2 linked regions of the Danio rerio genome follow. Each later gene encodes a partner of the first gene's protein in a complex. Links are inferred from orthologs where the notes say so. Each region holds a gene or a part of one and is shown on either strand. Other genes may lie near its edges.

Region 1 (16,594 bases):
TAGGGCATATTTACATCAGGGCTGCACACCTTACAGGTGCCAACATTAGAAGTGGATCAAAAAAATATTTATTTAAATCATTATTCTAAATTGTTCTAAGACAAGAATGGGGGTTGTTAAATAGTTTTAGGACAACTCTAAGTGATCCACTTCAAATGTTGACTACTGTATATCAAAACAAAATCAAAGTAGTGATTGGGCTTAGCCTGACTTTTACACAGCACAGGTTTTAAAGCTAAAAGCTCCAGTAAATCATCTTGACACGTAAAATAAACTTCATTCTGAAACGGCAGAGCATTTTTAATTGCTGACAATAGATACTATATTTTTGCAGTAAAAAAAACTTTTTTTTTTGTTTATTTTACAGTACAGTTGTGTTTATATATATCTCTATAACATTTTATAGACACAGTTTACACACTGTTTTATTTCTGGTAGTTTATAGAACCACAAATATATTTACTATTCCGCAGCAACAGCTACAGTCATTCTCAAATATGCAGTGCTGCTGATGTCAATTCAGTTGAGGGTGGTCAGATCGGATGGCATCACCTGAGCAGGAGTGATCTGCGCAGGGGTGGTGCTGGCGGGGGCAGCAGGGCGGGCGGCCTGAGTCTGGGCCTGCAATTGTGCCAACATCTGCTGTGGAATCATCAGCAGCTGACCACTGTCACTGCGCACCAACACCATACCTGGACACACAAACACGACACACACAGAAAGGTTGACATCACTCCCTATGCAAATTGTTATTCATTAGTGAGCTTTTTTCCTATTGATCTGACTGGAATTGAGTCTGGCAAGCGTGCCCTGCTTAGAGGCAGGAAGAATAAAGCGCACAGTTGGTGGCCTATATTTGCATGACACACTGAGAACCGCACAACACTCCGTCTCCCGTTACTGTGTGAACCAACGGATGTGTTCTCAACAGAAACTCTTGGTCGGAGAATCCAGATGGCCTCTTGTAGAAAAATCTGTCAAGTACTCTGTCCAGCCAGACAACGAGCTTGTCAGAATGACCAGAGCACACAGTCATGAGAGAAATCTTCAGAAAAAGATAAACTAGATGTGCATTTCCTGAATATAATACCAGTGTGTGACTGCAACGTTTTCAAACTTGAATTAATCAACTCTGGGTCAATCTACAGGTAAATAGGGTTGGGTTAATTAATTAATTGAAAAGAAATCGAAATCGACATTTAGAACCTATAATCGATCTAATTTTTCCAGGTAATTTTTTCAGTTACGTTCCCTACGATGTGTGGCGTCACATGACCCTGCTCTGTTAAGGCTAATTTATACTTCTGTGTCGAATGCACAGGTATCGTCTGGCACAGCCTTGATGCGCATACCCATGTACCTCTTCAAAATGTAACTACACATTGTCCATATTAACCACTGGATTCATTCTGGCTTTACATTTATTGGCCACCAGTGATCATTTGTAATATTAGTTTGTATTATTTTGTCATGAAACAAAAGAAAACAATAAAAAATAGAATTAAAAAATGTAACTACACATCGCAAGTTTGCACCTTGACAATGATTGGAAGCTGCGCCAGAGACGACATATTTTCCATTACAAAAACAAAATTATATTTACATTAAAATATTAGTTTACAGAAGATTCAAGAAATGCTTAGATTATTATTTACAGGATATACAAGTCATTTTATTTAGAAACTATACTGCTTATTTTCTACTTTTAATATAAAAAAAAATTAACACTAAAAATAATTGTTTTTTTCAAAAGTGCAAGTTTTCTTTTTTTTACTTTTTTATAAGAAAAAAGTGACTGTTGGTTTTAGGCAGAGTGTGTATTAATTTCAGTTGTTCAATGTTGATATTCAATAAATAATCATAGATGGCACAGTATGTGTTTTCAAGTAATGCTCCCTTCATTCAAAAATCTCTCACTTGTAATACTGTAAAAAACTTGCTCAATAAATAAATTAAACAATCATTCAATAATCGAAATCAAGGTTAAATGTTCAATTAATAGAAATTTAGATTTTAGGCCAAATCGTCCAGGCTTAAATCTAAACCCTGGTTAAAAAAGATTCTGGGCTTTCTGGTTTCACACTGCTCATTCATCACCCACACTGTAAAAAATTATAAGATCAAATAGTCATAACAGCATATGTTTTAGTTCAATGTAACTTAAGTGAATCATGTTCTAACTTAATTTTATAAGTTACACAAGCTGTTTAAGTCGGTTCAACATGATACAAGTTCAATGAACTCAAAAGGTCAACTCAAATTTGATTCAGCTTAAAAATTTAAGGCAAACTGAATTTTTTACAGTGCAGGTTTAAAAGAAAAGTTCACCCAAATTGACACACTATCTAATTACCCTCAACTGGCTCCAAACCTTAATGAGTTTCTTTCTTCTATATTGATATTTTAAAGAAGGCTGAAAACCTGTGGCAATTGACTTCAATAGTAAACAAAAACGAATACTATGGAAGTGGAAGTCAGTGTCTGCAGGTTTTCAGCTTTCTTCAAAATATCTTCTTTTGTGTTCACAGAAAAAAAGAAATTTAAAGAGTTATAAAACACGGGTGAGCAAATAATGACATAATTGTGCTTTTTGGGTGAACTACCCCTTTACCATTCAACATGGGGTATTCATAAGGCGAGGGATGACACAGAGATATATATATTGATATAGAGGTATATGATTCTAACAGTATGATAGGGCTGGGCAATTAATCAAAAAGTAACGAGATCAAATTTTTCCAGATCAATTGTTTCAATTACTTTCCCTACTGCATACGGAGTCATGTGACCCCAGTCTGTTTACACTCTGCGTCGAGTGCAGCCTTTACACGTTCGTATACCCCTCGCCATAACTGACGCCAATGCTGACCTCTCAAAAAAACATACGTCGCAACGACACATAGCACAAGCTCTGTGATTGGTCGGCTTGGTAACATTGACGAGTGTGGGTGCCATGGAAAGGGAAAAAATACAGTAAATAAATTTAAGAATTATTCATTAATGTGAATCGAGTTAAAATGTTCAATTCATCGAGATTTTGATTTTCACCCAGCCCTACAATATGATAATCTTGGATAAAAATATCATGGTTTCACTGTACTGTGATTACTGCTCTAGCATGAATTCTTTTTAAATATCTGGGTAATATACAAAAAAAATATACACAGTATAATTTATTTTGAGAAGCATTTAAAATAATTTGTAATTGTAAGCATGTCAGGCTAAATAATTCAAATGAATCATTGGCTTCTGCTATCTTCGTTAGATTTCAAGAACACAGATTTATTTACAGTTTAAAATGCATCTTAGGATATATTTTCTACTGGTGACACTTTTGCTCTAATAAAAAAAAAAAAAAAAGTTAAAATCTTACATATACCATAGAAACGATTAAACAGAAAATATTGGCGTTATAAAACCTTGACTTTTCCAAACCATGGTATACCTTGAAAACGGTTATCCTCCCATATAGAGAGAACACCCTTGTGGGCAAATTTGCTTTGTCAGTATCATTGTTTTGATAAATACAGAATGAGACCTGTTTACGTAACTGTTCTAGCATTGTGCATCCTCATTTTACCAGCAAGTTCTTCCTGAATGGACTTTGCAGACTATACATGTAAGAATGAAACTTTTTTTTCACTAGTCACATTTTTATTCATAATTTGACTTTTTTTTTTTAAATGCTAATAAAATCCCATTTCTTAAACAAGTGTGTAAACATGAGATTTAAAAGCTGTCTTTAGAGAAACCCCAGGGTTACACAAAATGTGGAAATGTGTCTCATGTACAGTATGTGTCTGAAAGAACTTGCGAAATCTGCTCAGATTACAATACCTACTAGATCTGGTAAGATTGTGAAAGGAGCACACAATAGACACTATCCCATGAGGCTATGGGTGAGGATCTGTGCATGACAGTTAAGCAACAGGAGTGATGCTGGTAGCTCACATGACAATGACAAGTCCAATGCAGTATGCAGAGTAGGCCTGTCACAATAATCAGTATAGCGACTCATCGCAAAACACATGGACATGACCTCAATCATTTTTGGTGATGCAGTATATGTATCGCCTAGGGTTGTAACGGTATGAATTTTTTACGGTATGATAATCGTCTAAAACAATACCACGGTTTGACGGTTTCGCGGTATACGGTATGTTACAAATGTTACAAAATAATAGAACAGTGAAGCAAATTTGACTTTTTCCAAATAATATATTTTTAGTTACTATAAGCAACACCACTTACAATGAACAAATAAAAATAAGAAAATAATAAATAATGTGTCAAAGCACTGGAAAGCTGAGATTCTCTTCTTTATGCCAATCTTTGAATTGTATGAATCGGATCAGCGGATCAAAAGTTATTAAACATTTAAGAGCAATACTTATTTTTAGCCGCGGGCGGCTGTCTCGGTCTTTAAGGGTTAAAACCGTTGATATGCAATTGTTCATGGTATTATAATCGTGCACATTCAAATCGTGGTAAACCGTCATACCGGTATATTGTTACAACCCTATCGCCCTTACTTAAAAACCAACATCTGCAACATCTCTATCTCTAGTGGAGGTGTCAGTGTCAGTATATGGTTAAAAAAACACTATAGTATTTACTATAAATTACTTTAGTATATGTTAATGTGGGTGTCTGATACAGTAACTGAAACAATCTGGTAGCAGATATCGCAGCCTCTGTTACTTTTTACCTTGCACTTTTTTGATAACATTTATTTTTATTTTGTAAGATATGCAGTTTCACATTCTGATTCAAATGCCTAATTATTTAATTTCTCAATAATTCAATTAAATGAAGTTTGTTCATAAACTAATTTCGAGAGGATCACTTGCTTATGATTTATCACGGCCGGTCTCGTATTTGCTAATCACTATCTTCCAATCATATGAGTCCTAAGCTACTATAAATAACCACAGTTTTCAGTTAATTTTATCTACACTTGGAAGAAACCCCCCTTCCTCCCCTATTCTCCTCCTTTACCACTGATCAGGCAGCACGGAGGCCCAGTGGTTAGCACTGTGAGCCCCACAGCAAGAACACTGCCGGCCCTGGTCCCACCAGGCCGGTCGGTGTTTCTATGAGGAGTTTGTATATTCTCCCCGTGTTTCTCCCCGATGTCTCCGGTTTCCTTCACCATCCAAAGAAATATAATGTGTTTTTCAAAAGAGTGAACTTGCATTGCAATGCTATTATATTGTCATTTGGCATTTTATAATGAGTGGCAAAAAATAGATATCGTATCGGCCTGATGCAGAGTGTATGATTTATATTAACAAGGTAGAAAAAAATTAAGAGACCTTTTCAAAATAATTTTCAAGTCTCTGGATTTACCATTAATAGATGCAGGTTTTTATTAAAATGTTTATTTGGGTTTTAAATTGATTTTATGAAATACTCATAACCTCAAAATTAAAGATATCATTTAAAACATTTTTTGCAGAAAATTACAATAGGTGAAAGAAAAATATTCCATATTTTCAGACCTTAAATGTGTAACATACATATGATACGTTGAATGCGATGTTTGCAATAAAAACCCAAAACCTATAAAACATTTTTTTTTAATTATAGGTATAAAAATAATTATAAAAACAATCAAAACATATTCGGTAACATTATATTGCAACTGTTTATATTTTCCAAAACAACTAACCACAGAGTTATGGGTAGGCATGGGACGATAACCGGTTTCAAAGTTTACCGCGGTTTAAAAAAGTCAAGGGTTTAATACTGGAAAATGTTTCTGCTATACTGTTCCTAAGGTATGTATAAGTTTTTTTACGTGTTTTTACACATTTTTTTATAATTTCTTAGAGCAATAGTATCTTTAGCAGAAAATGACCCTCCAAAAATGCCTTTTCAAGTTGTAAAGAAATCTGTGTTTTTTAAAAAAAAAAAACTATTAAACCAGCAGAAGTCAAATAAAATATATTGTGCTTAATGGGGAAAAAAGTTGTTGTTTTTCACAAAGACATTTAAAAAAAACATGAAACTGTGAAATTTTTATCCAGGTTTTTTTTTTTTTATATCGTCATACTTATACCGGCCCATGCCTAGTTATGGGATAAGAAAAATATCAATCTGTAAACATATTCTATATTTTAAATGGGAAAATAAACATGCATTATGGATGTGACCAAAAAGGTTTACAGTACACAGCACACTTTGTAAAAATTCTGTGAATTAAACTGCACAACCCAAAAGAAATAATGCTAATCAAAAGAATAAGAGTTGGCCCACTACAGAACAAAAATGATTAATTTTATTTGACATTTTTGCATTTATGAGTAAAAGGCTTTGTTATGTATGTGACACTTTTCAATTATGGATGTGACAAATGTGAAATTGCCAATTGTGTGACTTTAGTAAAGCAAATAAAATAGTTTGAAACACTGACAGAGACATGTTTGAGTATTACTATTAAATACTTGCTTACACTGAAAAAAAGTGTAAAAACGGTTTCTCTATTTAAGTGAAAACTTTATTTCTTTCATGGCAAGGTTGACATTTGCATGGAATTGCTTATATATGTGAAATACCAGAGCTGTATATACTTTTTTTGTGGTTGTGAAGTAATTACCTACACATAAGCGTGAGTGCAGACAAGGCACTTGTAAGAAAGTAAAAGAACAAGGCTGAAGACTGAACAGTGCTGACTAAAATTACCCAAATGGATGGTCAGACTACACTTCTTGTTAGATTTACATCTATTATTGTATATGAATGCTGAAGACTGGAATCACATTTAAGAAAGAACTTTGGTGAACTCTGACCCTCAAATTTGTATAATCTGAGATGTGACCTCAGATGACTTTGTACATGAATTGATACAAATGTACATGAATGAAGAGTAGCTTATTTTATGAATTATTGATATATATTAGAGCAAATTAAAAAATATGCCACAGAGTAAATATTAATAATTTAAATTAAAATATAGTTAGTTTTTGACTAAAAAGCATGGAGAGGACTTTAACATCAATTTGCTTTCAATCGACTTATAAAGACACAGTTCACCCAAATATTACTAATAATCATGTTGTTGGAAGTCTGCAGGACTTACTTCTCTCTTAATAGAAAGAAAAGTCACAAAGAATGTATGGAGACTGAAGCTGTCAATATGTCTGACAGCTCCTATTGAAGAAAGCGAGTTAGGCATGTTCGGAGTGTGTTTTAGATAAACTAACTTTTAATTACACTCTAATGAAGATATACTTTTGTTTTATGCACTTATTTTTTTCAGTTTGCAAGTATTTCAGGAGAGAGCAAACTTCACACGAAACCAAAACACTCCTCGTAAGTTTCTCTATACACATATCATGTCATTCCAGACAACATTCAGGGAAAGTGCTAATGTGAGCGTGGGGTACCTGGAGGTAGCTGGATATTCTGGATGTTCTGGCCCGGGCTGCTCTGAGGGAGTCGGGGCGCTAACACCTGTGGCGCGCTGGCCCTGATGGTCGGGCTAGATGATGCTGATGCTGCTGCAACAGTTGCCGGAGCTGCGGTTCTCGCAACCCCCTGCAAAACAGCCCCCTTGGCCACTGCAGGGCCGACAGTCATGCTGCCTGCGGGCTGGATGATAGTTTTAGGAGACTCGGACTTGCTCGCGGTGACAGGTGCAGAAGTCTGGTTCAACAAAAGAGGGGTCGTTGTAGTAGTAGAACTAGTAGTAGTAGTTGAAGTAGTAGTTATTCCCGGGGTCGCTACATTGGCTACAGAAATGGTGGTATTATTATTACTTCCGTTAATAGTTAAACCTGCTCCAGCAGTTTGCATAGATGGCCTGACAACTGTCACTAAGGGTCCTGCACTGGATGCTGCGGCTGGAGGAGTCCCGAAAGAAGACTGTATCACTGTGTTTGGGCTTGGGGCGACCGTGACGTTTCCGAGTCCTTTCGCCACCCCGGGCCCGTTATTAACAACCGGGACAGAAGTTGAAGCGTCGTCTGACGATGATGATGATGGACCACTGGACACTGGAGTGCCGCTTTCAGTGTGCGGATCCATTGCATTGCCTCCGTTCAAAGTTTGCACTGTGGACGTCCCGATCAAAGTAGTTACCATAGCATTAAGAAAGACCGGATCGCCTTAGCTGTCTTCCATCTGTGCCTCTGGCACATCAGTTCAGGAAGTTTGGGTTTTCATCGGCTTTTCCCTCCAGTTGCTTTTCGAAGGAAACAAGCGTGAGTGAATGGGAGTCTCGTGTCACAATGTCAATAAGGATTTGACAAGCGCCCGTGTCACCTCAAGTCCATTAGTAACAATGCTCTTGGGAGAAATAATCATCTAACACACTTGAAGAGCGACTGCTTTCATTATGTTCATATGTACAAGAGCTCGCAAAATGTCAACATTAGCTAGTTGAATTGCCTCTTTTCCCGGAGTCAGCGGGGTGATTTTCCGGCTGCCTGGGCGCTTACCTCAAACTTATTATGGCAAGATGTGGAAACGTCTAATCTAATACAACCTGAAGTGTCGGTAAAAAGTTTCTTTCCCACTCTTTTAATACAGAAATCCTTATATAGCAGGTCAAAGCCTGCCGCCATCTTCGATGTGAACAGTGAGGAGCTTTGGATAAAATGACATTGCGCATGCGCGCAAAAGCGGAAACGTCATTACGCTGAAGTTTTGTGGAGCCGCCATTGGTGGTCTCCGTGCGTGGAGGCGGGACATGAGAAACGTCAGTTGATTCTGGCGGAGCGCGGTCAGAGTCGGTCTGTCATCGAGAAAAGGGCCTTGTGAAGTTGAAAAACAACCGTTGAATTATACGGGCGCTGCTCTCGGTTGTGTCTAGAGGCACTTATAGCTGTTATGTGCGGGTTATAAAGCATGTAGAGGCTGTTGTGTGAACTTCACAGCGGGCTGTCTTCCCCCAAGATGGCCCCGTGTTTTGAAGCGTCTGTGTTGAAAGCGTGAAAAGGCGCCACACCTCTGCCAGCGTGACTGGCCATAGAGGGCACGCGTGCTACTGCAGCCATAGTTCACAGGGTTTCTGGTCACACGCTCAATCTTCACTTTAACTTATGCTACACTTTTTCTGTCAATGTGCACAGCGTTGCATCGGGATAAAAAGTCTGTATTTTGCAAGCACGTTATAAATAAAATATGGCTGATTAAATAGTCAACGAAGTGACAGAAAGAACCAATAGAAAGCTCTTTCTTGAACCAATAGTACCTAATTTTTTTCTAACATAATGTGAGCTGACACATTTGCTCTCAAAAGTCCTCCCTTATTTTTATAGGTGTTTTTTTTTTATAATTTGATAACATTTTGTTAAAATAGCAATTAATGAAACTTATATAAAAAACTTTATTTATCTGTGGTTGCCACAGCGGAATAAACCTACTTATCCAGCATGTTTCACGCAGCGGATGCCCCTCCAGCTGTAAACCCATCACTGGGAAACATTCATACTCTCTCTCATTCACACTTATACCCTACTGACAATTTAGCTAACCCAATTCACCTATACCACATGTCTTTGGACTTGTGAGGGAAAACCAGAGCACCTGGAGGATACCAACGTTAACATGGGGAAAGCATGCAAATCCCACACAGAAATCCCAACTGACCCAGCTGAGGCTCGAACCAGTGACCTTCTTGCTGTGAGACGACATCGTTAAACAAGCATCACTAAATATTAGTCGTGTTTTTCTGGTTGTTTTCACTATTTCTAATCATTTCAATTAAGGATGAGAACTTTAACACTTAACATCTATACCAGTGTACTTTACAACTACTTTAATTTACTAATTTAATTAGTTTAATTTTTTAATAATTAAAAAACTATTTAGATACACAAGCATTTTATTGGTATTAATTTTGCACTAATCAATATCACCAGTGAATCAGTAAACAAGTATGAGTTTTATAAAAAAAAAGGCAGATCAGATCAATGTTCATAAAGGTCGCTGATGATGTGTGGTCAACGTTTCTTTCATTTCTGATTTGAATTAAATAATGTTTATGTCATCGCGTAATCTGCTAGATTGAATGGAAAAAATAAACATAATGCTCTGGAGCAGTTGGTTCTTCTTGTATTTACAGTATACAGTGCATCCGGAAAGTATTCCTATCGCTTCACTTTTTCCATTTTATTTTATGTCACAGCCATATTTCAAAATAGATTAAATTAATTTGTTTCCTGAAAAATGTACACACAATACCCCATAATGACAATGTAAAAAAAGATTTTTTGAAATTGTTGCAAATTTATTAAAAATAAAATACCTGAAAAATCACATGTACACAAGTATTCACAGCCTTTGCTCAGTACTTTGTTAATGCACCTTTAGGAGTGATTCCAGCGTCAAGTAATTTTAAATGGGATGCTACAAGCTTGGCACACCTGTCTTTGGGAATTTTTGCCCATTCCTCTTTGCAGTACCTCTCAAGCTCTATCAGGTTGGATGGGAAACAACGATGTACAGTCACTTTCAGATCTCTCCAGATATTCAATAGGATTTAGAGGTCTGGGCTCTGGCTGGGCCACTCAAGGACACTGAAGCTGTCTTTTATTAAGGAATTTTGGAAGAGAAGATAAAAGCATGATTATACCTAAACCATAATTAATTAATATAATTTTCTTATGGCAAAACATTTAATGATAAAAAAAACCTCAAATTGAATGTGAACAAAACGTTTTGCTTTTAAACGATCAATATCAAGGATTTTGTGTTTATTTTAAGTTAATCATGTTTCAACTTATTCCTAACTTGTACATGATCCAACTTAATGTTTTAGGTCAGTTTAATTTAATGCTAATTTGATTTCACCTAAAAATTCAGTATGTATTAAATCGCAGCCCTGACTTTCTCTGCTCATTCGCTCACAGTTTCAATGACAAGCTGTTTGTTCTAAAAGAGATTTAAATGATTGTATTTGCATCACAGGTGCGGCTCTCCTGATGTGTGTGACGCTCATTGAGTGCCAGATTTAAATATCAAATATGCATCAATTTTTTATTGTTACTTTCTCTACGGTGTAAAACATAATTTCACAGTTTATAATGAAACAGTATTCTAGTGACCTGTTCAAGTAAATGCTTCAGAGGTACAGTCGTTTTTCCTACATTACTTGCTGAAAGGTATTCATTCATTAAATTTCTTTTCAGCTTAGTCACTTATTAATCATGGCTCGCCACAGCGGAATGAACCTCCAGAAAATGTTTTTTGCAGCGGATGCCTATCCAGCCGCAACCCAACACTGGGTAACACCCTTACACTCTCATTCACACACATACACGGCCAATTTAGCTTATTCAATTCAATACCGCATGTCTTTAGATTGTGGAGGCACCTAGAGCACCTAGAGGAAACCCACGCGAACACGAGGAGAAAATGCAAACTCCACACAGAGATGCCAACTGACCCAGCCGAGGCTCAAACCAGCGACTTTCTTGCTTTGAGGCGATCGTGATACACACTGCGCCTCCATGACACCCATTGCTTAAAGGTATAGTTACAAAAAAAAGATTTCCTCACCATTTTTTCACATTTAAGTAGTTTTAAATTCTTGTTAGTTTCTGAATTCTGTTGAACACAAAGAAGGATATACTGAAGAATGTTGAATAAACAGCCATTCCTTTACATTTTATCACTACTATAATAGCTAATTTTCTCCAACATTCTACAGAATATCTTTTTCTGGAAGAAGTAGATGGTGAGTAAATGATGAATTTCATTTTTGGATAAACTTTAATATTCACATCTAGTGAATACACCCAAAGTTGTAGATTAGCTCTTGACATTGGTGGTGATATACATCCCTATAGTGCAAGCATAGAACAGCACAAATTTTCTTTCATGCTATTCAAAACGTGAATAAAGGCTTTAAATACTTACAAATAACAATTAATGAAACATGTCCCATGCTGCAAAAGTCAATTGACATGATTTTACTGCAATCTGGCATTATGGAGGCATGAACATAGAGAAAATTGGAGAGGCACCTGATGCAAATTAACCGCTTTATCCTAATTAATATTTTTCAGAATTATGAAAGCCAAAATCAAAACTAAATTTAAATTACTTGCACAGCCTTGGTTAATATTTCTATGGTGGACTCCAAGCTAACTTGCCTTAAAAAACTTGAATCTCTGAAAAGTAGCTACTTATGTCCACATCTTGAAGGAGGCCTGGAAAAAAATCCTTGTATTGGTGCTTCTCATATCCAGATGTCGTTGACAGCATAAATAGGCCCAGCCAATCACACTGTTGTTTTGTGTTTGTATGAGGAAGGACACCAGTAGAGAATGTGATTTAACCCTTTATGCATGTTTAGATTACTAAGGATTGACAGAGCATTATTTTATTTTTAAGGTGATTAAATTATTGCCGGGGACATTTCAGTAATTGCAGGATATTGGTGGAGACACATACCCTTCGTCCATGCCATATCTACTCCCCTGGTTCACCCAAAAACTGAATATTGTGTCATCATTTACTCACCATTGACTCTAATAATATTTGCTTTTCTTACAATGGAAGTCAGTGATTAGATCTTTTCAGCTTTCTTCAAAAAATCTTTCCATCACTCGTTTTTAATTTGTTTGTGTTTAACAGGAGAAAGAGTCCTGTAAAGGTTTGAAACCACTTAGGGGTAAGTAAATAGGTAGTAAGTTGTCATGTAGGGGAATATCTTACAAATAAAGTGGAGTTACTGTAAAATGATAATAATTAAGAGTTCTAGCATATGTAGCTTAGTTCATGGGTATTTTGTGTTTATTTATGCTTTTAAATTGCATTATGAGATCTAGATTTTTGCTCCAACAACTTTTTATCTTGAAAAGTTTACTGATTTTGTTGACAGTTTCTTTGGGAGAGCAGGAGCTCAAGTCATTTCTGCGGGGTAAAAATCCTGAACCACTATGATGATGGACTTTGGCTAAATGGTTTTATGACAAAAATAACATTTGAGATGTTGTGCAATGTGGTTGGTCCAGTGGTTTGTCTATTAATACTATGACATTGTGCGAATGTTTCACATGATCAGTTAAACCATAATAACAAGACTTTTATGATGCGCAATGAAAAAAATGCTCTAACAACTTATGATCTAGAAAAGTTTACTGATTTTGTTGACAGTTTCTTGCGTTGCCCGAGCCAATACTATCTGACTGCAGACTTATATTGTAAGCTGACACCCAATCTTAAACATGCAATCTCAGACAGGTAGTGTTAGGCGCGGGGTTTGGTATGCACATTAAAAACATTGCATGCAGCTCATCTTGCATCTGCTGCCAGATCCTATTCAAGAGGGCTCAACGTGGTGCAACTTAAGAAAACACCAGCAAAATAAGAATTGGAATTGAAAAACACGCTGCAAATGCAATCACAAATAACAAAACACATTGCAAAGCCTCACAATGCAAACGCAAAAAGAAAACTGTGCTGCAAATTTTGACAACACATACATATAAAGAAAACATGTAGAAAAATCCTTAGAGCACATGCACATTGTGATCTAAAAAAAGTTGACTGAAGTTAGCATTGTATTTAAATGATATCGTCCTTTCAATCATTAGCCTACTAAAAGAGCCCTAATATTTTTTAATTAGCTTTTTACTTTTATCTGCAATTTATTTAGTCCTTATTTTAACAATAAAGCATTGTAAATTGCCCTATTAACCTTGAACTCATATTTAGTTGAGGATATTAAGTTAATTTCATTATCTAATAATGATTCACAGTTAATCATCAGAATATTTAGGCTAATAAATATGCAACAAAACAAAGGAATTGATTAATTAGGGTGTAAAATAAAAAAAAATAAAAAAATAACTTACATTCAGTTCACAACTTCACTGAGCTTTATCACTTTTTTTCCACATCCTCCTAAAATGTTTCCATTGTGGTCTATGTATTTGCATGTATTGTGAAGATTTGCAGTGTGTTTTTCTAATTGTGTTTGCGTTGTGACGATTTGCAGCAAGTTGTTTTTTTTTCCTTGTCTGTGTTGTGAAAATTTGCAGCACGTTTTTCTACAGTATATGTGTTTGCATTGTGACAATTTGCAGCACACATGCTATCAAACCGATAAAGATGTTTTCTTAATTTTGCTTGTGTTTGTTTTAATGCATGTGTTATCTTAAGCTGCTGCACATTAAACTCTCTATGCCACCGTAGTTTCTGTATTTTTAAGCAATTTATTCCCTGGGATCGAAAAGTAAATTCAAAATCTGCTTAAAGTCCCCATGAACTGGAAGCTTGTGACAACAAAATATTAAAGACAAAACAGTGGGCGTGGCTTGTTTTTCTACTGTGAATGGATGTAGTAAAGTAGGCATTTTATTCAGAAAGATCAGGAAAAAGGTTTGGGGAGAGTTATTACAACCTAATAGACTGTTTGTTGTCAAATTTCTGTTTGTTGTCAAAACCGACAGTTTGAGCAGTGTGGCTAAACATGTTAGCCATGCTCAATCTTTAAGATATACTAAATCTGACAATATAACTGAAAAAAAACAGGAAGTGACAACAAAATATTTTTTCTTAATGACATGCACAGATCAGTTCACCACAAAACTAGCAATGTAAGCTAACAAATTAATATGGCTGGTTTTGATTTCTTGGGGACTTTAAAACCATTACAAGAATAATGCAGTCATCCAATAATTGCTCCTAGAAAGATTTATGTAAACATAAACACCTTAAGCGATAGAAAACAAAATCCACAAAAAGAGCAACTCAAATATCAAACAAAAGGATTATGTGTATTTACAAAACATGTTTATCTTGTGTATTAAATTAGAAAGAGACAAGTGTGCTAGATTTGTATACAATATATGTACAAATACTTGTTCAAACTAAAATATTTTACAATCTAGTAGAGACTTTGTTTGAGATTACAAATATATTTGGATCAGTCTCTCCTCTGGTACCGTAGCGCTCCCCTCTGTGACACTCCAGGTAAGGACCCCAGTCTTCTGTAGGAGAGCAGGCAGATTTGATACGCTGGACCAAACAAAAAAGTTAAAAGAGATCAGAATAAATAGCATAGGAGTAAGGATTTCAATACATCACTTATATACCATCTTAATGAATTACCATCAATTTGGGTGAAATTGTTCACCCAGAAAATAAGAAAGAAAATGTGCTGGTAACTTACTTATCCTCAGCCATTAAAGATGACATGAATCAAATCTATTCAAAGCTCACAAAAATGAAGAAAACTATCCCAAATGCATTTCCATCAAGTTGTTAGAGCGGCTGACTATAATTTTCCCTACTTCAGAGTTTATTCTGCAAATGTATTTCCATCTGCCATTATTCTTATACAAAACTACCCCTAGCACGTGTAAAAAGGAGGGATTGTTTTTCCAAACTTGGAGTTCCCATCACTTGTTTCTCATGCAATACTTTCAAATGTGCTTTAACATGAGATGAATACCCAAGTAATTGCTACGGGTACATTGAGAATAAAAAAACATCAACAATGTGGACCATTTTTTAAATAATAAATTACACTTAAAAAAAAAAAACATTGATTTAAAATTGTAAAGCAACTAGCTTCACTTTTTTTTCTGCTGACTAAACTTAAAGAGTACCTATTTTTCCCCTTTTTTAAGATTTAAGATAAGTATTTTGTAAGTTTCAGTTAAAAAAAAACAACAACATCAGATTATTTATTATTGCTTTCAGAATATTGGGACTTTCTGCTCTGGACAAAATAGCTGTTTTTGTGACCTGTGCCTTTACTGCTAGTTCTACCCACCCACCGTTCCCATGTGCCTGTCAGAGTGTGCCTCGGCTGCTTCAAATAAACAGCACAGTGACAGACATGAAGGGAGCAGATCTTACATAATTCTCATTCTCACGCAATTCAACTCATTCTTGATCACATATGATGATAATTGATCTTTTTATCCCAGTTGCTTTAAGCATGTCCTGTCTTGTTGATATGATTATACACGTTACTACAAAGACATGTTGACACGGGGCTGTCAATCAAATGGTAGGCATGGAAACCGCACTCCTACGTCATGTTACTATAGGCCTCAAAATGGAAAGGATTTGGATCCTATTTTAAGTCAAGAAATTAAAAAAAAAGAGACTTATTGGGTTTATATCACCCTTATATGACAAAAGATGATTTTCATCCAAGTTGCCTTTTAAACCATGTTCACTACAGTACTTGGGTTAAATTTTGAGTCAACCTGAGTTAACTTTTTTAAAAGACAAAGACAAAATGCAATGTGCACGTGGTGGCGTGAGACCGCTCTTTGGGACAACAGGCATTTCTGCAAGGTAAAAATCCTGAACCACTATGATGATGGACTTTGGCTTAGGGGTATACTAATACCATGACATTGTGCCCATGTTTTCACATGATCAGTTAAATCATAATCACAAGATTTTTTTTGATGCGCGATTAAAGTATTCTATCATATTCATATACTTGCATATCTATTCATATACTCGCAGTAAATGATGTGATGTGAGAGTATAATTGTTGTTTTAAGCAGATCGGCCTCTGAACTCTTTGTGAGTGTTGACGCTGGCTTTTGCTGATGAAACTGCAAACTATCTTCAGTAAACTTTCTTTTTATTGAATCTCTGACTCTGGCTTCTCTTC
Region 2 (15,361 bases), on another chromosome or scaffold:
ATAACAATGCTAACTTCATTGAAGAGTGAGCACATAATTATAATAAAATGTACTTATTTGTGTATCTGTAAGGGTCATGATGCTCATATGAGGCTGTTTTTTTGTCATCCAGGTTTACATTTGAGAGCGAGTCACTGTCAGCAAGCAGAAACTATTCATATGAAGACATAAGTAAGTAAAAACAGTGGGCGATAGAAGAAAAAAGGTCAAAAACTAAGGGACTAACAAAATAATTTTGAATTAAGAAAATGTACTTTTATGAACCCATACAGTTTATTTATTTTTTTATTCTATACCTTAATGGTTTGGTAACACAGTTAACTATACTGTTTTATGTTGTATTAAATGTTATTAAGAAAGTGAAACAAATACCACAATATAATATTTTTAGAACAAACATATTATTCTCCAAGAGTGTGCTAAATTAATCAAAAATGACATTATTTAGAGATATTTATGTTGCTTAAGATTTTCCAATTGTAAATAACCAGGTTAATCTATTAATAAATGTAATTTAATAATTTAAAATGTATTGAATTAACTTGTGGCGACGCAGTGGGTAGCACGTTCGCCTCACAGCAAGAAGGTCGCTGATTCGATCCTTGGCTCAGTTGGCGTTTCTGTGTGGAGTTTGCATGTTCTCCCTGTTCATGTTCGTGTGGGTTTCCTCCGGATGCTCCGGTTTCCCCCACAGTCCAAAGACATGTGGTACAGGTGATTTGGGTAGGCTAAATAGTCCGGTGTGTGTGTGTGTTTCCCAGAGATGGGTTGCGGCTGGAAAGGCATCTGCTGCATAAAAACTTGCTGGATAAGTTCATTCCGCTGTGGCCACCCCGGATTAATAAAGGGACCAAGCCGACAAGAAAATGAATGAATAAATGAATGAATTAATATGTAAAATATTTGTAATGTTACAAAAAAAATTTGGGGTGGGAGGGGGGGTGGGTGGCTTGGTGATTTCCAAAAATAATATAGATGTTATTAAACAATTAGAATGACTATTAGAATATTTTATTTACAACCTACAGGAGATAAAAATAATATTTAATAGTTACATAAAAAAACACATACAAATAAAAAAGCCATCAGCCTTTCAATTATTTTTCCATTGGATTGTGACCCCTGGGGTTATTAAGCTAGATTAACAAGGCAATAGGGAAAATTGCAGCAGATTGATTTTAAAGTTAAATATTGACACCTTTATGGCACTCACATACATTAAAAACAAAGGTCACAACTGAACATAGAGGATAATCTCCAGGTTGTTTGCTGTAAACATTTTCAGTTAAGTCCATTTAATAATCTAGGGTCGCCACAGCGGAATGAACCACCAACTTATAGAGCAAATGTTTTACACAGCGGATACCCTTCCAGCTGCAACTCCCTACTAGAAAACATCAATACACCCTCATTCACACACAGTACAGACAATTTAGCTAACCCAATTCACCTATACCACATGTCTTTGGACTTGTGGGGGAAACCGGAGCACTCAGAGGAAACCCACGCGAACACAGGGAGAACATGCAAACTCCACACTGAAACACCAACTGATCCAGCCAGGGTTTGAACCAGAGACCTTCTTGCTGTGAAGCAATTGTGCTACCCACTGCGGCACTGTGCTGCCGCTGTAAACATTGTTCTCACTATTTTCATTAAGTGAGGTTATTATTAAATTAAACAAATTAATAATGTCAATATGCTTGTTTGTATAGTTACTATTGGTGTGTGAGCACCGTTGTGTGCAATGTTTTTATGTTTAAAACCCACCTCTGATCATAGTGGGGGTCGCGAGTCACTGGAAATGTTAATTTGGGGGTCGCAAGCTAAAAAGTTTGGGAACCCCTGATCTACAGTATTGTTTAAATGACATTATTTTCTTGTGCAACCAATAGGAGACTCCAGCTTGTATGTGGGCGGAGCCTCAAATGTTAATGACAGGCGGCTGTCAGATTTCAACGTGAAGACTAATTCTACACAGGTTTGAACACAAAACACATCATTATAATAAGCTTAGCAACTGATTTTCTTTTCTGACTCATTTGTTTGCATGTGACTCTCACAGTTCCCTTATAATCCCTCATGTGAAGAATCAAAGAACCAGAGATCAGCAGCAGAAGCCTCACCAGCCACCGACAAACTCATTCAGCAGGTAAACAATATGCATGTCCTCTTCATATTCATTCCAGACTTTCCTCTGAACTTTGATTAATCTGTATTTTGCCATGAATTCTCAGGCACTGAGAGATGGTGGTCTGGAGTCGTTGGCTGAAGACCCACAGTTTGTATCTGTGACCAGAAAGGAGCTGGCAGAAGCCGTTAATATTGGCTTGCAGGATATAGAGAGCGTGGCTCAGGGTATTGTCAATGGGCAGAGCGGCAAGGTAACCAAACGCAAGCGACGTCCTATCCCTGTTCCTCCCAGCAAAACCAAGGAAGCCACAAGTGCAGTGTAAACACATACTGAGAGACTTTTAACAAAACCATGAGACACCATCGCCCTGAGGCTTCAGCCATTGTTTAAAATCACAGACGTAACAGTTTACGAGCAGGTAGTGATTAAGCTGTGCTGTTTTTAAAGATGGTATTTTGGTTTAGAGAAATAATGTTTCCAAAGGACACGTACCATAATGCTGTTTCAATGAGGTCTTGTGATTTTGATTTCTGATGGCTACTCTGATTCAGGTTTGTTTTTTGGTAAGCGATTATACCAAACGTCCTCAATAAAGTGTTCACACTTCTGTTCTGTGAACATCTATAATTGACTGTGTGACAATACAGACAATCATCTGAAGCGTTGTAATCTGTGGACATGTCTAAAAGGCAAGTCTTTTTATTTCTTTACTTTGTTTAAACTGCGCAGAATGGTTTACCACCGCAGTTACAAATATTTTGTTATTGAATCGGAGAGAGGGTGGGAGGGAATAAATAAAGTGGTAAATAAAGTGAATTCAAAAGAAATATATAGTACACAACAGCATTTTTAGGAGTTTTCAGCTATAAACTCGTTTTGGCCATTCATTTACATGACAGCAGCTTTTTGGGGTCCTGAAAATGCATACTTGAAAGTACAATCGGTTAGTGAGTGGAGGTTTGTGAAAACAATACTATTATCATGTCAGTGTAAACTAAAAAAATGCAATTTTGTGAAAACGCTCACATCATACATAAGCAGTTTATCTTTGAGCGAGTTAAACAACAATGGCGGACTAGAGGACTTTTGATGATAGCATTGTGCTACATTGCCAACTATTGGCCTGGTATGCACAATACAGAATTTTTAGGCAGTTTTGAAAATGTTGTTGTTTCAATGAGAAAAGCTTCAAAAAACACACTTTTTTTGGTTTGTTAAGTACATCTTCAAGTAAACTGGCCTGTGTTTTTTATTATTTAAATAGTTATTTTGTGTTTGTACTCTGCACTTAAAGCCTCTATTTGTTTGAACATTTATTTTATTTACAAAATTACTTAAAGATGAGACAAGAAGGTGTATAGGATCTTACAATGTCTAATTGAAAGCATAATAACATTTTTATTTCACTTAAGATTATATTTTTCAAAAGAATCTTTCTCGTTGCTTAAAGTGGGACTGAAAATAATAAGTCGGCTAAAATTGGCTAGCTTATGGAGAGAACTGCTATTTTTTTCCCCTAGAATAGGTGTAGTGGTTTTCTTGGTTTTTCTCTTACTAAATCAAACTCAGTCTGGAGGTTATGAATATCAGAAGAATATACTTTATTGTCGACAACAAAGGAGAACTTTCAGGAGACCCCCAGTAGCATCTCTGTCTGAAAAATTCTGCCTCCCTAATCTCCTGGCCTGTTTAAATACACTTTGACAACAATTATTTTCCTTTGTTCTCCATACATTACACAAGATCCCTCCCCTAACCCCAAATTCCACCTCTGACATCTGTTTCCTGAGACACCTCAGGCTCTTTTACCACTCTCTTTTCATCCCTTCTTTTATGACCCCTAGTTGTTTCCTCAAGCCATTTCCCATGTCCAATTGTTTTAATGGTATGCAAGTCTACAAGCAGATTATACACATATAACCTGAATATATAGATTAACTTCACACTCCAAAGAGCACAAAATCCACCTCATAGGCAAACTATTTTTTATTAATATACTTTAGTGGCTTATACAGTATGTTGTATAGTGCAGGTGAGATGGATATAGGACAATGGAGTAAAAAGAAAGAGAGTGGGATCAGTACGTAACGCAGGCCGGATTTAAACTGTCCCTGTCAGAAGAACCATTTTTCTTTGTGCAATACCTACTGGCACTGACATCTTTTTTCTTAAAAATGTTTTTAATAGGCTAGAGGAGTGTTCCAGGGACATCAGGTGTACATTGATATGTGTTTCTTCCTTTTAACTGTATGAAAATAATAGTGAAATAATCATTACTGAAAACACAATGTTGCTTTAGAAGTTTATCATCTCAGTTCAAATTATTTTGCTCACGATGACCTCACTTTTGAAGTGCTGCAATGTTTATACGTAAAGTTGAAATTTAAAGACAAAAGAATGTGTTGATGCCTTTGGCTGAAGTCTTAAAGCTGTTTACTCTTAATATGTTTCCCTGTATTTTCTCTTAAACAACATTTGACTTTGTTCAGCACATCCGTGTATTTTATTCATTGCAAAGTGCAATTATTTTGCTATTGGATTTTCACTGCGCATATACATACATATCCACTTCAGCCTGTGCCTTGTCATTGAATATGAAATGAGGTTTAATTTTTAATAAATTGAAGAAAGGAGAAAAGCTAACATTTTTAACCTTTTGTAAATAGATAAATGCTCTTTAACCATTCAGATTATATCACATATTTTACCATATCTTGTAAAATTTGCTAATCATTTGAGGGCAACTTTAACATATAATTCCACTTTTTCTCAAATATACTTTAGGCTACTGCTTTTGATCACTGAACAAAATGAAGTATATCAGTGGTTCTCAAACTATGGTACGTGTACCACTAGTGGTACTTGGGCTTCCTTCTAGTGGTACGCGGAGGAATCAAATATGTCATTTGTACAAAAATGATTTAAATATGTTAAAAAATGATTTAAATATGAATATGATGACATATAGCCTATGTTTCCAGGTGTTGATAAATAGGCTACTATGTTAATACTTTACAGGAGTTTTTTTTTTTTTTTTTTTTTACTTTTTAACAACAGTAACCTTTAATTTTTACCTTTTAAAAGCACATTTTAATTAAAATGTTGACGTTTTTAGTCAGTAGTTATGCTACTGTATTTCAATACTGGTCATTTTGGAGGTACTTGTTGAGACAATTTTTTTCTGAGGTGGTACTTGATCGATGAAAAAACTTTGAGATCCACTGAAGTATATTATGCCGTTTCTGCTCAACTAGTGCCTCCTAGTGGGATTACAAAAAATAAACTATATACAATCCTTGCAAATGCTGCTGACATTTTGTCTTATTACTATCGTATACTGACACGGCTTAACAATTGAAATGGGGTTTGGCGGTAAAGTGGCAACATGTAATGCTTTGTAACAAAGAGTTTAGCTTACCTGTGAAAAAGTCTCAAATGAAACACAGTTCAAATTCTTCTGTCTTGTAAAGCACCACCACTATTCATGTATTTTTGTATATCTTTGCGTAGTTTGGCAAGTAACTTAGTACATTTTATATCGCACTTTTAATCTCTTTTCCCAGATAACGCCTCAGACTCCGACTAGCTAATCATCCTCAGGCCCACCTGCTGCTATAGCCACGCCCCAAACTTTCGCTATTAGTCAAACTGAACAGTGATTGACAGACCCAAGTGAACAGCTTCGATATCTTGACCCATATATGACTTACTTATAATCACCGAACAATAAACCGGGATAAAATTATTTGTTTTAGCAACTTAAAAAAAATCTAGCATACTTCTTATGAATCCCCATCACCCTTTTTGTGACCTACATTGAATTCGCCTGAGAGCACATAGAGCAACTGAAAGAAGCAAAGTCAAGATCGATTCTATTCTAATAATATTCTTATATTTATATAATGTTTTCTCTGAAGACATGATGATTGGTCTCAGCTGTATTAGACTGTTGCGAGAAACTTGAGCAGGTCCTTCAGGTACTATTAATACTGCAGCACGTTACAGCTCCAGCTCCTTATGGCATGAAACTAAACCCATAAAGCGAAGATGAGAAGATCATACATGTAGTGTATGAACTTACATCACAAGCCTTACAGTGGTTAATTTAAGACTTCTTTTTACAGTATTTGATTGATTGATTTACAGTGATTGATGACCAAAACAGGAATTGTATTGTAATGAATTTATTTATACAAGATTTTTTACTGGCATCAACTAAGTCATGTGGCATAATATAACTCAGTCAGGCTTAACAAAAATACAAAAAAGCTGCTAAATCCCTAAAAGCAAGTGGGCTGATGTTTCTCATCTTGACAATTAGCACATTTCCAGCAGTCCATTAGAATGAAGCTCTCAGATGAAATAATGAGGCTTTTTAACATTTATGCCGTACTCTGCCAAAGCCGGTGTCAGATCTTCCATCGTCAGAGTGTACTTCTTGTCCTGGAAAGTGAGATGATTATAACATGTGAGATTTAAAGATCAAGTTTTTTTTTATATTGTACATATAGTCATTCTAAAATGCATTGTGCGCACAAACCTTGGCCTTGTTTCGGGAGCTTCCAGAGGCTGTGCCCTTCATTTTGCAGTGTTGTAGTGCATCGTTTGCAATATCAGAGATGAACTTCTGAGATGCCAGAGATATGAGACGAATTCTGGCAAAGAAACAAGGACATGATGTAAAGGCAGATTCATGAGGGGTTTATGAAGATATAAAAGCATGTTTTTTTATGATTAAAAAATTAACACCAACCTTTTATATTAAGATAGCATTTTCAATATTAGCTTGTTACCGACTAACAAAAATGCAATACTTTACATTAGACAAATGTGATATTTATTTCCTGTTCATACTAAGAATAATAACCATTTATTCATTTTCTTTTCGGCTAAGTCTCTTTATTAATCTGGGGTCGCCACAGCGGAATGAACTGCTAACTTATCCAGCACATGATTTACACAGTGGATGCCCTTCCAGCTACAACCCATCACTGGGAAACGTCCATACACACACATACACTCCAGACAATTTACCTTACTGAATTCACCTACAGCACATGTTTTTGGACTTATGGGGAAAACCGGAGCATAATAACCATTTAAAGGTTTACAAATTGTATAATGATGATGATGAAAACAGCCTGCCACATACACTTTTACATGCAGTGAAGTTGGACCACCCCGACCATAAACAAACATCACATAATTCAGGAGAAGACAGGTTAATGGAAGGTAGCTTTTAGAAAGAGGAAATAAAATATATTAGGGAAAAGGGAGGTGAAAAAAAAAAACCCTCTCCGACTGCCGTTGAAGTAGGGCAGTGTAAGATCAGGGGAAAGAAAGCCCCAGCACGAGCACAAAAACACATAGACATAACATCGCAACAGGTGATGGGAACAGGGGATGTGGATATAGTCCGATAAAGGCGGCAGCCATCTGGTCCTGCCCCCAGAGAGCCCCGATCAAAGACCCGTCCAACAACCCAGAAAAACGTTGGAACAACTTTTGGATAGTTTTAATTTTCCAGCTGATGAACATGACACCTAAATCGCATCTTTAAACAATTTAAGCAAAAATTCTGAGAAAATCTGAAATTATAAAATTATTACATGTTCACTTTACACATTTTATTTTACACACACTTTATTTTAAGGTACAATTCTCGCTGTTAACAACCCATTATCTAACACTTTTAGCTCAAACTACTCACTTGTTGCTTATTAATAGTTAGTAAGGTAGAAGTTGGGTTTAGGTATTGGGTAGGATTAGGGATGTAGAATAAGATCATACTTTAGAAGTACTAATAAACTGCCAATCTCTTAATAACAGGCAGCTAATAAGCCAGTAGTGAAATCGTGGAAACCGATAAATAAACTAAAGTATTAAGAGTTTTTGTTTATCTTTCATACATTTAAAGTGCTTTTATCATATTTGACCCAACAGCTTTCTGAGAGAAAGCTTTCTTATTCCGAACTCACATCCTTGGATCTGATGCTTCAAATCCAGCTCTGTTGAGATAGTATCCTGTAACTGCGTCTGGAATCTGAAGCACAGACAGTTTGTTAGCAGTACAACTCATAAAATATCATTAATAACCAAAGAATAAACTACAAATCACAAAAGGGAGCTCACTGTAGGAGTGTAATCCTCCAGCTGCATGAGGAAATCTGCCAGTGGTGTAGTTGAGATCACAGGCTTCACGTCTCCGTTGGCGATCTCTGTGGGCACATACACGCCGTTTGATACAGTGGAGTCGGAGGATGGGGTTGCCATGGAAGCCGAAGTAGACACTTTGAGGGCGGAAAGTAAGTATAACAGACAATTTAAGGCAATAAAACAACAATTGACATTACAGGCAACAATCAAAAGGCAGCTAAAACTTCTCTTTCATGAGCACTAAACTACAACCTAACAAAAAATTCTTCTTCTCATTCTTTCCTTAATCCCTCCCTACTTAAGTCTGCATTTAATAAAATTTCCATAGATTATTTTGCTAGCGCAGATTGTTAGTCTCAAAGTGAACGATTCATATGTGCAAGTTAATCCACTTAAGAGGAACAGTTTAATCTAAATCTGACCATCTGCTTCTGCTCTGTTATGGCAGTTCTTCTCTGATGACGTCAGTTTGACAGATTGGAGCAAAAGATGCTTAGCCACACCTCTTCAACCGTTAAGTTTGCCACAAGTGAAAGATGACAGGAGCACAAAAATAAAACCCGCCCACTGCTCAATATTTCAATTCAGTTGGAAATAGGTCATCACACTGAAATAAAAGTTTGCAACAACTTCCTGTTAATACAGGCATTAAAGTGGGCATTGGCTCTTTGTGATAAATCACAATACCCTTTCTCATTTGACAGTTGCTTTGGACAAAAGTTGGACAACTAAGTGTAAATAATTGAATTTATAATTAAATGTTTGTAGGTAAATGCTAAGCTCTCTGATCAGGGCTGGGTAGTAACTAGGCCCACATGGAATCTGTGTGCGCAGAAATCCACAGATTTCCACAGGGTTTTTTTTTGCCAAATTTATATATTTTATTATATATATATATATATATATATATATATTATTATTATTATTATTATTACATTTATTTCAGTAATATTATTGACCATATGAAAATGTTCATATGATTTATTTACAATACAGTTTGTAAAGTAATATTTCGTCTTTTAGTAGATTTTAGTAGACTTGCTTTGTTTACCAAATAAGTGCATCTAATTATTTAATTAAAAAATTAAATAAGTTAAAATTCCATATATTAAGTATTTAGTTAAGTTGCTTCCAAAATCTTTTTGCATAAATTCACACATTTTTTACTTCTGCGCAGAAACAGCAAAAAATGTCTGCAGATTCTGTCTGGCCGTGGTAATAACACATGATAACTATATTTTACATGATATAATTTTCAAATAAAACAGTAATATGTGACAGGATTACAATATAACAACTAATAGTTTTTTTTAATATGATGCAGCTTAAAGTGGCTTTATGAATTGTGTAAATAAATGCATTAAAACCACAAATTTTGTGAATTGGTCGCTCTTCATTTTCTTTAAGCACAGAGTCTGCCCCAGGAGTTTATGTTGACATTAAAATTTGGTATATTGTGAATTTACTGTTTAATAATGGAAAAGTATTTTAGTGTAAAGTGTAAATAGGAAGTGTAAGTAAACTAATTTTACTCATTTTAAAATAGAAACTATCACTCACATCTTACTATCTTTTTTTAATACTTAGTTTTTATGTATTTTTTTAGAAACATATAACCAGTGGGAACAAAACAAACTATAAAACATATAAACACACATACATAACAAGTATATACGTGTATATACACAAATACATCCATTCCACACAAGTATATCTATATGCATACATATATAAAAAACAGTAAATTAACCTCATCAAGAAAATAAATGAATAAAAAAGTACAAAACAAATATAATAAAAGGTTGACAAACATTCTCGCAATGATGCATAACCTCTAGAATTACGTAAACGTTAAATTATGGATAATTGTATTGCCGTTGTAGAGAAAGCCAGCCATCTCTTTTTCTATTTGTAATCATTTTTTCCATTTCTGTTATTATTTTGAGCGGATCTTCTTCATACCATTTCCAGGTTATAGCTTTTCTTACTTTTTGCCAATAATATTTTAAATAGATATCCAGCCTCCTTTTCAAGTTTAATAGTTATGTCCCCTAGATAAAGTACTTTGAATGATCTAGAAATATGAAGATCAAAAATATAATTAATGGCCGAGAGTAGTTTCTCAAAAACTGTTCATTCTTAAGCACTGCCAGGATATATGTGCATGATGTGCCTCTTCTACCCCCCACAGTTGTCTCACTACCTTTATACCTTAAAAGAAACAAATTTTACTTTCTTAAATCGATTTTTTAAAATAAATTGTCACTATTTGCACCTTGATTTGAAAATGTGATTGGCTTGTTTTTCAGTTGTTGTCTATACTACTATACCCGTTTTATGCTATTGCCCTTGAAAATTCACTGTTGTACTAATTGCAGTAAAAAAGAAAAGCAAGAGCACCCCAAGAAAGAAGACTTGAAGTTGACCATGTAATATTTAGCTGTAGTGAGGAAATGTCATGTAGGCCACATTGCACATTGCGTTTAAAATCACTTGGATTTCTGTGATCAACCCATTCTGTCAAATGTTTGTCTGCATGCCTAGGTGCTTGATTATAATACACCTGAATTCAATGGAGGGGTGTCCCAAAAACGTTGGTTTTTGCTGTAACGTTACCTCAGATCTGTGAAATGTTCATCTCTTTGACATGCGTTTGACAAGTTTTACAATATACGAGAAGTTTAAACGATTAGTTATCTGTTTGCTTCGTACAACTATTATTCAGGAGCAAAAATCTGCATTAAAACGTGAAATAAATAAAGTTGTGACTTTTTTGTGATAATTGGCGATAACAACTAATATAAAAAAAGCGATAAACTGTTATTATTTTCAAGTCACATCGCCCAGTAAAAAATGAGTGTTGTGGAAAAGACACACAGAGACACACACCATTGCTGCTGGCGAGCGCAGGGATGCTGCTGGCGTTTGTGGTGCTGCTGTTCGGGACGCAGTTGCTGCTGCTGGACGCCGCCGCTGCTGCTCCGGTCTGCGTGAGATCCACGTTCATTTTCCCGGCTTAGTTTATGTATTGCAAACGCTAAGCTATACTAGAAAAACACACACAGTTTAAACTAATGTTGGGTTGAGTCGAGCGCTCATTTATGCCGTTTAAACGGCGAAGTATCGGTCGCTCGCTCTGATGATAAAAATATTTACGCTGCAACTGCGTCAGGTGATCAACACTTCCGTGTGCAACCACTATGAAATCCCGCTTGGTGTTGGAAATCGTCAATGGTTCCGGATAAATCCCTTTTAGCTCACATTTATTATTTGTAGTATTGAATTTAAAGCGCAAACTTTGTCATACGTATTTGGCATTCAATATATAATTTGCAGTTCATCCAAAAGGAGAAAGAAGAAACATATTGCGTGTGTAGACCTAGACCGAGGACATTTTGCAACAGCTCCATCTAGTGATGGCGGTGAAGTGGGTTATTTCACACAAAGGAATGTCAGAAAACTTAAATATAGTTATAGTGTTCAAATTACACTTTAAGGTCTCTGTGACTGCAACTAATACACTTAAACCACAAAATAATCTTGTTATTAGCGTATCAATCTTACATGCTGTCATGTTACTCATGTTATCTTAAATAATATTAATAATTAAAATAAAATAGATTATACAAATATAAATTTGACCACCCCTATGGTTAAAGGCATAATCGCGCCAATCAGTCTTTGCAAGACTCATTCAACAGCGTGGATACTGTAGTGTTCGAGACAGTTCTCTTGTAAAATAGGTGTTTGTATAGTTTGAGTTACAGTAACCTCTAAAATAATAAGAGAATATTTAAATGTCTTTAGATGTCATTTAAAAAAAAAGGCTAAATTTGACAGAGTAATTTGCACTCTGAGTATTAGTATTAAATATATTATATATATTATAATAATATTGTAAGTATTATTATAATACTTTAATTAAAATTTGAATATATCATCTTATAGCCTGTCATTTAGAGTTTATTATTTCTAAAAATGGCTATTAAATCTTATGGCATTATTCATTCATTTTCTTTCAGCTTAGTCCCTTTATTCATCAGGGGTCGCCACAGCAAAATGAACCGCCAACTTATCCAGCCTATGTTTTACACAGCGCATGCCCTTCCAGCTGCATTCCAGTAGTGGGAAACATCAATATACCCTCAATCACACACATACACTACGACCAATTAAGTTTATTCAATTCACCTTAACTGCATGTGTTTGGACTGTGTGGGAAACCAGAGCTCTTTTGGAATTAATGAAATTTAAATAAATTCCTTAGAATGCCTGCTTAAATCCAGTCCAAAATAATAAATATTATTCTGAAAGGTTTCTAGAACAAACTTAAGTGTGTTAGATCTTGGAGGGGAAAATGTTATTAATTTCCTAAATGCTTTTTTTGGACACTAATATTAATTAATAGATAATTTAACAAAAGAAAAAAAAAATGTTTGGGTGTGTGAAAACACAAAGGTTTGTTCTCGTATTTTTAAACTCTTTCAAGCCAAAACACACCCTAACACAGTGTCACGAGTTGAACATAAAACTACAAAAATATTTTTAATAATTTGAAACTTAAGATTATTTTGTTATTAATATATTTACAATTTTTAATACAACTTTTATTGCTTTATTATTTGCCTGCATTTGATCATTTATTTTTATAAATCACAATAAGGTTTCTAAATCTACATCTTCGATTTAGATATATGGGTGGCACACATAACAGTAGTCACATCAATGACCAACATAAAATGTTTCCAAATTAAAAGCATTTTGTTTTATTGTCACAAGAATCATACACTTTAGTAACAAAATCAAAAATAAATGTGCATATAGAAGCCACATATCAATATGTATAAGCCTACGAGAGTATGATACCATAACCACCAGATTCGACTGACACAGACGCTGACAGTAAGGTACAGATATGGTCAGGATGGTTCAATGCCTTCTCAACCATTGTCAAGTCGCTGGAATGACGAACAAAAAGATAAAAAAAACATGCCATCAGATGAAATCGTTAAGACTACAACACTCATTCCTCATCCTCCTAGCATTACATTTCACAGAAAAATGATCAAATACCAAAAACAACATTGTGCTGTTTGTGTAATCTGCTTTACAAGGTGCAGATTTTCACAGAAATCCATTAAAGTCAATACTGCCAAAGCTCAGCTGTAGTTATGCATTTGTGCAAATATTAATATTCTAAAACCAAAACTGCAAAAAGGGTTTTAATTAATGAACAACTTAAATTTCAACAATTTTATTACATTTTAAAAACATTTTACATTCAAAAACAAATGCAAAACATTTTAGATCAATGATGTTTAGTCTAAACTCAACTAATATCAGTGGAATGTCCTACTAAAATAAGCCTGACACAGAACAGAAGTGTGAAATCATTTGGCACAATAAGAACAGATCAGCTAAAAAAAGATATCTCAAAAGAAATGACAGAACTATTTATGGCTTCTAAAGAAATGCAATAATTGATTGGTGTCGAAATCCGACTCTTGGTTGACCAAATATTAACAAACACACTACTATATTTACCCTTTAAATTCAAAATACTTTGAGTTTAAACAGCAGATAACTGTAAAAGAAAACGTGGATGGCTGTGAAGACTGGAAGATCGAAATATTTATACACCTTTTGTTTGACTTTCCACAGAACAAGTCAGCAAACAAGAACATTTACCAGTGACTCAGAACACAGAGACAAGGAACAACATTAAGCATAGCAAATGCCAACAATATTGTCTCCGATTTAAAGGAATTATATTTTCAAGATTTTAGCTGATGGAGAACAGAAGGGAGACAAAACTGTAGGCGGCGAAATTTATATTGAGAAAATAAGAATGTTTCTTTTCACAAGACACCCTTTCCATACAAAACTAAAATTATTTTTCATTTTCATCACATGAAAATATATAGATTTGTCTTTATACATAGGATCTCAGTTACGTTTGCCACAGTGTACTGCATGTCACATGACCATAAAACTTTCAATTTATTACGATTCACTGTAAACGGTCACAGGATGATTTGTCACATTAAATATTTAGTCGAGAAAAAATTGACTATGTTTGTCATTTTGGTCTGGGAAAACATGCATTGACTTGTCAAAACACCCAGCAAGCATTTTTTTATTTTAAAAGATGTCTAATAGATGTCTAAACATGGCCATGTTGGCTAAAACAATGCTAAATTTGGTCTGTCAGTGAACTTGAACTTTAATAGATGTCTAAGAATAGGCCAAAACTAGCCCTCAAATAAACAGAAATGAATGATTACACTTACACAGTCTATCTAATCCAGGGGTGCCCAAACTCAGTCCTGGAGGCCCGATGTCCTGCAAAGTTTAAGTCCAACCCCATCAGAGACACCTAGTCTAGCTAATCGAGCTCTTAATAGGCTTTCTAGAAACATTCATGCAGGTGTGTTGAGGCAAGTTGGAGCTAAAATCTGCAGGATCTGCACCGGCCATCCAGGACCGAGTTTGGACACTCCTGATCTAATCGGTCTATTTGACAACTAGTCTAGTTTTGGGCTATTCTTAGATATCTATTATATTTTTGCTGACAGCGCAAGTTTTGCCTTGTTTTAGCCAAGCTGTCTTTGTTTAGATGTCTATTAGACATTTAAAAACATAAAATTGTTTGCTGGGCAGTCATGCGATTTTCATAAAGCGTTGAAGACAATATTTAAAGATATTAATATTTAAAGATATAGTTCACCCCTCAAAAATAAACAATATAAAAACAAAAAACATTCACCCTCATGTCATTCAAACCTGCATAATTCTTATGTGGGATACAATATATATATTGTATATTTTTAATATATATATATATATATATATTAAAAAAAAGGAAAAATTATTCTCCATTAACTTTAATACACATACAAAAACAAAAGTCTGGAACAAAAAAAACAAAAAAAAAAACATTTAGATTGCCAACATAAAAAAAACCATGTGGTTTGCACAAAAAAAAAAAAAAAAAAAAAAAGGCAGATAGGCTTGGAATGACATGAAGGTGAATAAACGGTCTTCAAATCTGATTTCACTCCACTTGATGCA

What was found.
Region 2: taf4a (region 1) and taf10 share a complex: the UniProt entries of both Homo sapiens proteins name them as parts of the TFIID basal transcription factor complex. The link is inferred for Danio rerio from reciprocal best matches to the Homo sapiens genes TAF4 and TAF10.

Annotation. Positions count from the first base shown.
Region 1 is NC_133186.1:23,083,981-23,100,574, forward strand, and holds the start of taf4a (transcription initiation factor TFIID subunit 4), read right to left. Parts: upstream 8,606-16,594; 5' UTR 8,086-8,605; coding exon 7,389-8,085; intron 693-7,388; coding exon 553-692; intron 1-552. Other genes in the region: slc6a14 (sodium- and chloride-dependent neutral and basic amino acid transporter B(0+)), read right to left, coding at 14,836-14,973. UniProt on the Homo sapiens protein: The TFIID basal transcription factor complex plays a major role in the initiation of RNA polymerase II (Pol II)-dependent transcription.
Region 2 is NC_133183.1:27,703,387-27,718,747, forward strand, and holds taf10 (transcription initiation factor TFIID subunit 10), read right to left. Parts: upstream 11,517-15,361; 5' UTR 11,298-11,516; coding exon 11,180-11,297; intron 8,425-11,179; coding exon 8,267-8,424; intron 8,178-8,266; coding exon 8,113-8,177; intron 6,790-8,112; coding exon 6,675-6,789; intron 6,578-6,674; coding exon 6,488-6,577; 3' UTR 6,306-6,487; downstream 1-6,305. Other genes in the region: cacna1sb (calcium channel, voltage-dependent, L type, alpha 1S subunit, b), read left to right, coding at 1-25, 113-171, 1,896-1,981, 2,066-2,152, 2,238-2,456. UniProt on the Homo sapiens protein: The TFIID basal transcription factor complex plays a major role in the initiation of RNA polymerase II (Pol II)-dependent transcription.